Linked DNA regions of Sus scrofa. The protein of the gene in region 2 binds, or shares a complex with, the protein of the main gene of each other region. Links are inferred from orthologs where the notes say so. Each region holds a gene or a part of one and is shown on either strand. Other genes may lie near its edges.

The links. Proteins that work in one complex are often made in the same cells at the same time.
Region 1: the proteins of TGFB1 (region 2) and ITGB6 are in contact, whole or in part, in a crystal structure (PDB 5FFO), measured with the Homo sapiens proteins. The link is inferred for Sus scrofa from reciprocal best matches to the Homo sapiens genes TGFB1 and ITGB6. Residues at the interface, in NP_000651.3 of Homo sapiens: Pro70, Gly71, Pro72, Glu75, Leu158, Asn237, Gly245, Asp246, Leu247, Thr249, Ile250, His251, Met253, Asn254; in NP_000879.2 of Homo sapiens: Ser142, Ala143, Ser144, Asp146, Asp147, Pro196, Cys197, Ser199, Ile200, Pro201, Tyr202, Lys228, Lys231, Ile232, Ser233, Ala234, Asn235, Ile236, Asp237, Thr238, Glu240.
Region 3: the proteins of TGFB1 (region 2) and ITGAV are in contact, whole or in part, in a crystal structure (PDB 5FFO), measured with the Homo sapiens proteins. The link is inferred for Sus scrofa from reciprocal best matches to the Homo sapiens genes TGFB1 and ITGAV. Residues at the interface, in NP_000651.3 of Homo sapiens: Gly242, Arg243, Arg244, Gly245; in NP_002201.2 of Homo sapiens: Asp178, Asp180, Phe207, Tyr208, Gln210, Ala245, Asp248.

The regions. Positions count from the first base shown.
Region 1 is NC_010457.5:67,119,817-67,123,380, forward strand, and holds part of ITGB6 (integrin beta-6), read right to left. Parts: intron 2,001-3,564; 5' UTR 1,820-2,000; coding exon 1,801-1,819; intron 1,447-1,800; coding exon 1,394-1,446; intron 1,212-1,393; exon of another isoform or gene 982-1,211; intron 874-981; coding exon 798-873; intron 75-797; coding exon 1-74. UniProt on the Homo sapiens protein: Integrin alpha-V:beta-6 (ITGAV:ITGB6) is a receptor for fibronectin and cytotactin. It recognizes the sequence R-G-D in its ligands. Internalization of integrin alpha-V/beta-6 via clathrin-mediated endocytosis promotes carcinoma cell invasion.
Region 2 is NC_010448.4:49,345,794-49,349,847, forward strand, and holds the start of TGFB1 (transforming growth factor beta-1), read right to left. Parts: upstream 2,850-4,054; 5' UTR 2,604-2,849; coding exon of another isoform or gene 2,477-2,603; 5' UTR 2,406-2,476; coding exon 2,051-2,405; intron 1-2,050. Other genes in the region: basic proline-rich protein-like, read right to left, coding at 2,477-2,603, 3,113-3,309, 3,362-3,430. UniProt on the Homo sapiens protein: Transforming growth factor beta-1 proprotein: Precursor of the Latency-associated peptide (LAP) and Transforming growth factor beta-1 (TGF-beta-1) chains, which constitute the regulatory and active subunit of TGF-beta-1, respectively.
Region 3 is NC_010457.5:91,681,457-91,685,020, forward strand, and holds part of ITGAV (integrin alpha-V precursor), read left to right. Parts: intron 1-2,527; coding exon 2,528-2,665; intron 2,666-3,564.

The DNA.
Region 1 (3,564 bases), on a different chromosome or scaffold from region 2:
AGAACACCAGGCACACTGCGGTCCAATGAGTAAGCAGTCTTCACAGGTCTCTGCACCTCCCAGGGCACAGCCACCTGTGTTTAAACCCAGCAAGACACAAGGGATTCAGCACACTCTCAGCCACGCCATTTGTGAGCCATACAGCTCTTAAAGTACTTGAACAAAACAATACCAAAGTTTATTTTTTAGTCTCCAAAAATCTGTCCTCAAAATGTTAGCAATCCATAGTAAAGTTCATAGTTGACATCTATCACATTGAAAATATGTGTCTTGGCCCCAAACAATCATTCTCTTTGATTCTTCAAGTATGAAAATATGTCAACATCCACAAATACAGGATCATCATATTTATCATCTCCTTTAATTTAAAAAAAATTGTTCGCACCCATTAAAGAACACTGCTCTCTCAAATGTACGATGATTTTATTTTAAAAATAAATCTTTTTTCCCCTCAAAGTTTTCACTCTCAAGTGGAAGCCTTTGATGTACAATAAAATAGCCAGAAAAATTACCAAAACGATCGTCATAAGGGTATTAAGAAGTCCTGTTGTGCAGTAGTGCTGTTTCACTCTCCTCATTTAAGTGCCCAAGGAACCTTTGTATTTATTTACCTTAAGCCCAGAGCATTTGCTGTGGGAACAGCCCTGCGTCGCCTGTAATTTGTTAAAGAGTTCGTTCAATGGCAAAGGAGCAATTGAACAGATCAAAATAAAAGAATGACTTCGGATCTAGTTTCTGAACCAAATGACAGGTCAAGCATACCACAAAAGCAATATATCAGAGAACTTGCGTCTTACCTTGTACGTGATCATTCCTTCCTAGAAATAGAAAGAACAGGCAAAGCAGTTCAATCCCCATCCGTTTCAGTTCTCGCTGTGCAGACAGATTAAAAAATGAATTACCTTCAACATTACAAGACCAAAGCTGAACATCGTTAAAAGTCTTTCTTTCTTCAAGTGTGAAACTGTAAACACTACTTACACTGTTTTGAAAAGAAACTTGAGATGTAAATTAAAAAGTTTTCATTAAGGCTGAAATGAAAACAGAAGCTACCTGGACAGGTAAAGAAGAAAAGCTGTGTTTAAGAGCAACTTCAACATGATTTACTTCCTTGTTCTCCTTATAAGGAAGGCAGGTGTACAATCACCAAGAAGGTGGGGAAATTCATTCAGTAGAAATTTTTGTGTAAATTCTATTAGTCTCTCTGCTTCCTAGAGAAAGTTGACACCTTTAGTAAAATACTGATCAGTGAAATGTCAAAAGAGCAATTAAAATATGGTCTAAAGTTGTTTTTAAAATAATTTAAAATTAATGTAAACAGTAAAGATGATAAATAAAATACAAATATATGCTATGTAGAGGAGGGTTTTAAAAATGAGCTAAAGGAGAATACCTGAGATTTTTCTGTTTCATTGTGAAATCTTTTGCAGAGAATTGAGATGAACTCTGAAAAATAAAAATGATTATTTTTCAATTTAGAAGTCAGGCTAGGGAGAGAAAAATACTGTGTTCTCTTGTTTTTAAAGTTGGATAAAATCTCTTTTTCCATGTGTAGAGAATTCTTATTTAAAAGCATTATTAGAAAAAAAATGTAATATATTAAAATTAAATTAGACCAAAATGAATCTCAAACAACGACAATGGAAACAGAAACAATGATGCTTAAGATTCGGAATCCCTCCCTTCTCGGTAGTGACCAAGTTCTTTTCCTCATGGACTGTCCTTGTTTCTAGCTCACGGCTTGGCACATAGAAGATATGTATTTGTTGAACAAAAGAGTGACAAATTTCAGATATATACCCTCTATGGCTAACTTCATGAGCTTGATTAAGAATTTTTCTTAATGCATTCCAGACAGTGATTGGGATTTGTAGATACTGCAAGCAAATATTCACTTTGATACTCTCCAAACTGCTTGACCTTAGACAGGCTTCACTGTGGCTAGGCTTAGTCCTGGAAGATTATCTTTTGAAAGTATATTTCTAGGTAGCATGTGAAACCTGTGAAGTGAGGAAAACTAATTATAGACTGCTCAGGTTCTTCTCAGAAGGCTATGTTCAATTTTGCACTCCATCATACACTGCAATCTGGAAGAACATGGCAAGAATCCTGCAGAGAGAAACCAGAATTATTAAAGAGTTGGAAGTTTACCTTTGGGGAGAAAAATACATTTATATGAAATTGGTTGGTTTAGCTTGAAGAGAAAGATGGAGGCGCAGATTATCTGTGCCTCTCCTATTACCTCTGGATAAGACTTGTATCTTGTCACTCATTTATTTATTCACACATTCATCCATTCATTCAATAAATATTTATTGAGCATCTACTTTGGGTCAAATATTGTTCTAGAAGCAGAGGATAGGTCAGTAAACAAAGTCAAACTCTTGACACATGAAGTATATATTCTATGCTGGGGGGTAGCAGGTAGGGGAAGACTGATTCTTAAAATCATGCTGTCATAAGGGCTATGAAAAATGATAACAATGGGTAATGGCTGATGGTTCGGAAAGGTGTGCTATGTTACTTGGGATGGTCAGGGAAGACATCCCTGATCAGCTGATGTCTGAAAGAGCCCTAAATGACTTGGGCAACAAAGTGCCATGGCTCTGATGGCAGACCAGGCATTTTCAGGGAAGGCAGAGTACAAGAAGGGACAGAGGGGGTGGTAGCAAGTGAGGTCAGCTTTAGAGGCAGAGGTCAGATTGGACGTAGTCTTGACCTTGAATTTTATTCAAAATGTGTTAAAATGTCACTGGAAGATTGAAAGCAGGGGGATGGTATAATTTAATTTACATTTAATTAATTAATTAATTAATTAGTCTTTTGTCTTTTTTTCTCCAGGGGTGGCACCTGTGGCATATGGAGGTTCCCTGGCTAGGGATCTAATCAGAGCTGTTGCTGCCGGCCTATGCCAGAACCATAGCAACACCAAATCCGAGCCTCCTCTGCAGAGCCACAGCTCATGGCAATGCCGGATCCTTAACGCACTGAGCGGGGCCAGGGATTGAACCTGCAATCTCACGGTTCCTAGTCAGATTCATTTCTGCTGCACCATGATGGGAACTCTTAGTTTACATTTTAAAACAATCATCACTCTGACTGCTATGAAGCTTAGAAAATATGGGGCTAGACTGGAAAGTGGGAGATCAATTAGGAATTTACGGCTGTTTTCTAGGAGTGATTGGAACCAGAATAGTGCTGATGTAGGAGGGCAGAGGTGGTCCGATACAGGATAGCATTTGAAAACAGAATGTGCTTATGGATTGAATGTGAATGTGGAAGAAAGATTTTTAGCCTGAGCAACAGAGTATATGAAACTCTTTTCTGAGAGGGGTGACCCTGGGGAAGGATCAGGTATTGTGTAGAGGATGGGACTCAAGAAGATGTTAATTTGAAGACATCTAGGAGATGACCAAGTGAAGATGTGTCTGATGAAGTTTGATATCTGACTCAGCAAATGGGGTGTTACGGAACTATCAACTGTAAATCTAGGATCATTACCATGGATTTAAAGATATGAGGCTGGGGGAGTTCCCATTGTGGCTTAGTGGAAACAACCCCGAC
Region 2 (4,054 bases):
AGAAAAAGTTGGGGGCTGGGAATGAGGAGGCCAGCCATGAAGGCCTGGTCAACTGGGGAAGTTGCTTTCCGCCTGTGCATGGGGGGTGGGGGACATGCTGGAGACATCTGATGAGAAAGGACAGAGGAAGCCCCTTCTGGGGGCCTCCTTCCCCTACTAGTCCTTGTCTAGCCAGGCCAGTCACCCCCCCCTCACCCGCCAAATAAGCCCTATCTTGGCCCAGGGGTTACTCAGCAGACCCCAAAGGGAGGGTAGAGCACAAGCGGGGAGACAAACAGGGAGGAAGAGAGATAGAAGGGCCAGGAACGGTCAGAGGGGAGAGCTGGAGATTGGGGTATGGAGAAGAAAAAGAGAAAGAAGAGGTGGCGAGGCAGAAACTAGAAGATTCAGACAGTGACAGAGCACGACGGGAGAGATGGAAAGGCAAAGATGGGCGATAGAGACACACAGGAAGAGAGACGTAGAGTTCAGAGACCAGATGGAGGCATAAAGGGATTGAAGGTGTCAGTGCTGAAAAAATCTCTACAACGTAAGTGAGGCGACCAGGACGGAAAAGGTGACACAGAGATGCGAGTAGGTAGAGGCGTCATTTGGCTGAAGTCGCAACTGGGCGCACAAATGGGCCAGAGACCCACAACTACACGGCCAAGGAAGAAAGCGAAGGCGGAGGGGGCGCCCCCAAGCCTCCGGGCCACGCGGGACGCCTGGGTCCCCGCGCGGGTGCTCGAGGGGCCGGCCCAGCGGTAGCCCCGCCCAGAGCTGGGGGTGAAGAGGGCGGGAGGCGCCGCCGGCGCGAGGGCGGGGACCGGACCTGTCTCGTCTCGCCTCGGGCTCCGCGCGCGATCCCCCCCCCACCCCCCGCCACCAGGCACGGGAAGGAAAGGGAGGGGAGGGAGGGCGAGGCGGCCGGACGCTGGGGTTTCCCCAGCCTCCCAGAGAGGAACTAAGAGTTTGGGGTCCTGGCTCTCCGCGTCTAGCTCTACGTAGTCCTCCTGCCCCCTTCCGGAAGCGCAGGCTCCTCCCCCCGCGCGTGGCACCCACGTGGGGCTTCCTCACCCATACCAGTTCGGTTTTCTTACCCCGATCTTGTAGAGTCGCACCCACCCACCTCTCCCCCTATGGCTCGACTGCTCACTCAGCCTTCTGCCTTCCATCCCGGGGACATGGGAGTCGCTCGCTGCTCCCAGCATGGCACGGTCCTTCTCTCCTCTGCCTCCTCCCAGGTCCACCTTTCCCACGCTTGTCTCGCCGCTCTATAAACCCCTTCCCACGACCCAGTATTCTAGGTTTCCTGGGGCCCCGCTTCCTCCGCCGGGCTTCCTTCTCTCAAGTCCGTGTGCGAAATACTCAGGGCGCCTCTCCGCGCATCCCTGGCACTCCAACTGGGGTCTACTTTCCCGCTAGCTTCCTCCACCCTACGACATCGCGCCCCCCTTTTTTCCCCGCATGTATCACCCCTCCCCGCCTCTCTCTCTGAGCCCTCCCCAGATCCTTCGTACTCTCCTCTAGCCCTGTGCAAGTGGGTCCACTCTCCACTTCTTTGGCACCTCCGGGGTTCGTTTCACCTAGTTTTTCTGTCTTTCTTGGATCTTCCTGCCACACGACCCCTAAGCTCTGGGTCCGCTTACCCACTCTTTCTCCTTTCCCAAATTCTGGGGTCCTCGATTTTTCCGAATCAGGCTCCCTCTCTGCAGCCCCTACCCCACGACCCCTCATTTTATTGCACCCTGCAAGGGGAAGTGCTTTTCTACTCCCCCTGCAACTGCTTCGCTTCTCTCCCTCTAATGGACTCCCCCCACGATCCCACATGTTCCTGTCGCTCTCTAAAAGCGGTCCACTTCGCTATCTCCTCTTCAAGACTAGGTATCTGGGACATAGGGAGCTCAGCCCTATCTTCTTTGGGACCCCCCCCCCCGCCAACGCGTTCCCGGCACCCCCGGGTCCTCTTCCTCCGGCCAGTTTCCTCTAGGGTAATTTCCTCCCCGTGACCCCTGCACTCCGGCGCCCCCTGGGGGCTCCCCTCCAGGATCCCCGGCCCTTCTGAGCTCACGGTTGCCGCTTTCCACCATTAGCACGCGGGTGACCTCCTTGGCGTAGTAGTCCGCCTCTGGCTCGGGCTCCGGTTCGACACTTTCCCCGGCTACCCGGTCGCGGGTACTGTTGTAAAGAGCCAGTACGGCCTCAGGCAGCGGGCCGGGCGGCACGTCCCCCTGGCTCGGGGGGCTGGCGAGCCGAAGCTTGGACAGAATCTGGCCGCGAATGGCCTCGATGCGCTTCCGCTTCACCAGCTCCATGTCGATGGTCTTGCAGGTGGACAGTCCGGCGGCCGGCCGGCCAGGCGTCAGCACTAGCAGCCACAGCAGCGGCAGCAGCAGCGGCAAGAGCCGCAGCCCCGAAGGCGGCATGGGGGAGGCGGCGCCCCCCGGCACAGCCGAGAGTGCGAGCCGGCTGGGGTAGGAAGAGGGAGGCCCCGCCCCTACAGGGGCTGAGGGGTCTCCCCAGAAAAGGTAGGAGGATCTGGGGTGGGAGGGAAGTTGAGGCTCTCAGGGAGAACGGAGGAGCAGAGGTGGAAGGGAGGCTCTGATGGGTGGGTTCTCGGTATCCTACGGAAAAAACCGAGATGGGCGAGATCTGGTACCAGAGGTGGGTGGTCTTGAATAGGAAAGCTGAGGCAGGTCTGAGACAGATTCCGTCTCCCGGATCCGAGAAGGGTCCTTGGATGCGCAGGGGCTCAGCAGAGAGGCTGAGAGTGGGGAAGTGTGCAGGGGGGTGCGCCCGAGCTTTGGGGTCAAGTCTTCGCGGGAGTCGGGTTTGCGGCTCCAGACGGCAGGTCCGGAATGGGGGCACCTAGGGAACGCCGCGCAGGGGGCCGGGAGGGAGCAAGCGTCCGAGGCGGTGGTAGGGTGCGGTCTGGGGTCCCCAAGTCCTGCCTCGCGGGGCAGCGCTGCGCGAAGCGGTCCCCGCGCCTCGGGCTCCCAGCGGCAGCGGAAAAGTCTCAAAACTTTTTTTCCTCTTCTCCCAACCAGCTCGTCCCTCCTCCCGCTCCTCCTCCCCCTCCTCCCCGCAGCGGCGGCGGCGGCGGCGGCGGGGGCGGCGGCGGCTCGCCTCAGACCCTGGGGCCTCGGGCTGCTCCTCGGCGGCTTCTTCCTCCTCTTCTGGCTGAGGCTGGCCCCGCAGGCGGCTCCGAGCCGGGGGGTGCCCCGGAGGGGGCGTCCCCCCTGCCCCCGGCCGGGGGCCTAGCTGTCTGGTGGATCCGCGGCGGGAGGAGGGGGGTGGGACGAAGCCGGGCGCGAAGGGCGGCGGCGGCGGCTGCAGGGACCGGCTGGGGCGGCGGGGGGTTTTGAAGCCGCCCCGGCCCCACCCAGGAAGCGCGCGGGGCGGGGGCGGCCCTCAGGGGGAAGGCTTGGGGGGGCCGGGCCGCCGTCCTCATCTCGCGTGGGCGGGCTCCAAGGGGGGTCCCTTAAGCCCTAGCGGGAGGGGGCGGTCACCCGGCTCCGCCCCAACAGGGTGCTGCCTCCTGGCGGCCGAGCGCTACTAAGGCGGGCGGCTGTGATGCGTGCGGCTTTGAGGGTGGCTTGGGGAGCCACTGAGAGAAAGGCGACCTGGTGGGGAGGACTCCATCAGAGGATGGGGACACAGCGTACAGGGAGTCCGAGGAGGACCACCCAGAGTGGAGAGTGGGAAGCTGGGGCAGAGAGGGAGTGGGTCTGCCAGAGATGGGGAGCCAGTGGGGAGAAGGGCACAGGGGAGGGGGACCCCCAAGGAGTAGGGGACATAGGAGCAGTCACCTAGAGTGGGGGGGGTCACCGTTGGGCAGAAGATAGGGGAAGGGGGCCTGAGGAAGGAGGGTGACAGTGGAAGGGTGGGCACAGGACATCTGACAGATGACAGTCAGAAAAGCACCCGCACATGAAAGAACTGCTCTCTTTTATTGAGTCCTTCCATGTGCAAACAGCTTCTTTGCACCCAACCCCTGTGAGCCCATGTGCTTCTGCCCCAACTGTAAGATGGAAAACCAACCTGGGAGGGGCAGCCACTGGGCTTGAGGTGCTAC
Region 3 (3,564 bases), on a different chromosome or scaffold from region 2:
TTGGGAATTAGGAATTATAATTTTTAGTAACTTGTGGATCAAAAAAGAGATCATATTAGAACTTTACTTAGAAGTGAATCATAATGAAAATACTACATCAAAATGTATCATATATCCCAGAAGGAGAATGTAAAGGTAGATGTATAGCCTTAAATACTATTTAATTTAAATGAAAGATTACGAAAAAAATGAAGGAAAAACAAACAAAAAAACCCTCGTTAAAATTAGAAATTGAAAAGGGCCATAAATACAGATAAAGGATCAATTGTAATTATAGAATATTAGTAATAACCTTGTGTGAAAATGTAGAAAACTTAGGTAAAATAGAGACATTCTTAGAAAACCCTAATACAACTGTCATATGAAGAAACAGAAAACTGAAAAATTCATTTAAACCATATAAAAAATTGAACTGAGAATTAAAAATCTTAAGGGATCACAAGGCACAGATACTTTTATAGGCAATATCTACAAAACCGTCATGAGCAAGAAATTCCAATATTAAACTCTTCTAAAGAATAGAAAAACAGGAGTTCCCGTCGTGGTGCAGTGGTTAACAAATCCGAATAGGAACCATGAGGTTGCAGGTTCTGTCCCTGACCTTGCTCGGTGGGTTAACGATCTGGCGTTGCCAGTGAGCTGTGGTGTAGGTTGCAGACGTGGCTTGGATCCCGCGTTGCTGTGGCTCTGGCGTAGGCCAGTGGCTACAGCTCCGATTCAACCCCTAGCTTGGGAACCTCCATATGCCATGGGAGCGGCCCAAGAAATAGCAAAAAAAAAAAAAAAAAAAAAAAAAAAGAGTAGAAAAACAAAATATATTTTCGCCTTCATATTCTATGAAGCTAGTGTAATTGATACCCAGACTGGTCAAAGATAGTAAAATCAAGGAGAATTCATGCCAGTCTTACAAAAACACAGATGTAAAATCACTAAGCAAATATAAACAAACTAAAGCCTAAAGATTTTAGGAGTTCCCGTCGTTGTGCAGTGGTTAACGAATCTGACTAGGAACCATGAGGTTGCGGGTTCAATCCCTGCCCTTGCTCAGTGGGTTAATGATCTGGCATTGCCGTGAGCTGTGGTGTAGGTCGCAGACACGGCTCAGATCCTGCGTTGCTGTGGCTCTGGTGAAGGCTGGTGGCTACAGCTCCGATTGGACCCCTAGCCTAGGAACCTCCATATGCCGTGGGAGCGGCCCAAGAAATGGCAAAAAGACAAAAAAAAAAAAAAAAAATTTAAAAAAACAAAACAAAAGATTTAAAAATCTACCAACTTAGGAGTTCCCTTGTGGCACAGCAGGTTAAGCACCCAGCATTGTTACTGCAGTGGTTTGGGTCGCTCTGTGGCACAGGTTCAAAACCTTGCCCAAGAAGTTCCATATGCCACAGGCTTGGCCAAAATGTGTGTGTGTGTACTTTAATGAACAGAGTGAAAATATGGCCATCTTACCTAAGTGCCGGAAAGGTTGTTAATTTAATAATGACTCAAGGTACAAGCAAACACGACAAACATTTCAAGTAACATTTATGAAGAAATACTATTTTACATTATTCAAACAAAATCTGCCAGTACTATTGATTGGTCAAGATGTGAATTAATGAGAATTCCTACACATTGCTAGTGGCAGTGTAAATTGTTAGGAAGACTTTGGAAAATAATATATTATCTTACAGAGGTGACAAATCTGCTTGCCGCTATGTAGAACAATACAGCATGTTTTTTTTGTCATAGAGAAAACAAGCAAAAAACTCAAAACAATCTAAATAACCTAATAGAAAAAAAAAAGGAAAAATAAAACTCTACAAAATTATGAATTGAAAAGGACGTAAGTACAGATAAATGATCAATTAAAATAATAGAATATTATGAATAACTTTGACAGAAGAATGGATAAATTGTGGGTTTATTATATGATAAATATTATTCAACAGTAAAAACCTTGGATACATGCAACAGTGTGAATGAATCTTAAAGAGAGTGTTGAACAGATAGAAAATGACAGAAGAATATGTATGATCTCATTTAAAAAAACAAACAAACAGGAAAAGCAATCTGAAAAACATACTGTTTAAGGACATATGCACTAGAATAAAACTACTGAAAGCAACCAAGGGAATGGTAAACATAAAATTCAGGCAGTGGTAAAATTCAGGTACCTCTGGAAGCAAGACAGAGGGATGAAAAGGGAAAAGAACATGTGGGTAACTTAAGCGGTGTGGGAAATGTCCTAGTTATTATTCATGTCAGGTGTGTGTTTCAGTGCTCATTTTAATGACATGCCTCAAATATTTTGGGGTGAGTCAAATGTTACATTATAAAACAAAAATCGATTAAGGGTTCTCACTGGATAATGATAATCTTTTTGGATACTCTATTCTTATGTAAGTCTAGCTTTTCAAAGAGTTTTGATAGAATTGGATCAAGACTTGAATACAGCTGGCTTTGTATTGTGCATTTAAGGATTTCTCCAGATAGTTTGATGTCACAAGTTGATGTCTTTGTTAATTCAAAATATTTCCATTTTTAGGATGAATCTGAATTTAGAGACAAACTCACTCCCATTACTATTTTTATGGAGTATCGACTGGATTATACAACAGCTGCTGATGTAACAGGCTTGCAACCCATTCTTAACCAATTCACTCCTGCCAACATTAGTCGACAGGTATTGTACTTTATTAATGTATCATTGATTTTATCATTAATATTATACTTTTAACTTTTTAAAAAGTCTTAATCGTTCGTATTTTTTAATGGCATAAAGAATTGCTTTTATAATGTTGAGTTTTTAGCTAAGGTCAGAGGGGAAGGAATCTGGATTTTCAAATCTGAGACATTTAAAGCCACTGAGAACTTAGTGATATGCAGAGGAAGACAAGGTAGATTTCATATGCATAAAACAGTAAAGTGAGTCAAGGAAAGCAACACAATGCCAATTTATTTACATAATATTTTAGTATTTTGCTAAACAAATTTATCATCTTTTATATTTTAATTGTAAAAAATAGTACATGTACACATATACACATATATAATACATTTTCATAAAACCAAAGAAAGCAGCATAAAATTTCATAGACTATATTAAAATATTTTAAGAAAATCCTGTGTAAAACCCATACATTCAAATATTGTTATTATAGTTTCTGTTTTTTCCTCTTTTATTACATGTTCATATGTTTATTTACTTTTTTCTATTTTTTAATTACTCAATGAATTTATTACATTTATAGTTGAACAATGATCATCACAATCCAGTTTTATAAGATTTCCATCCCACAATCCTGGCGCATCCTCCCACTCCCCAAACTGTCTCCTTTGGAAACCATAAAGTTTTTCAAAGTCTGTGAGTCAGTATTGTTCTGCAAAGAAGTTCCTTGTGTCCTTTTTTCAGATCCCACATGTCAGTGAAAGCATTTGATGTTGGTGTCTCATTGTCTGACTGACCTCACTCAGCATGATAATTTCTAGGTCCATCCATGTTGCTAAAAATCTGGTATTTCATTACTTTTAATGGCTGAGTAATATTCCATTGTGTATATGGACCACATCTTCTTGATACAC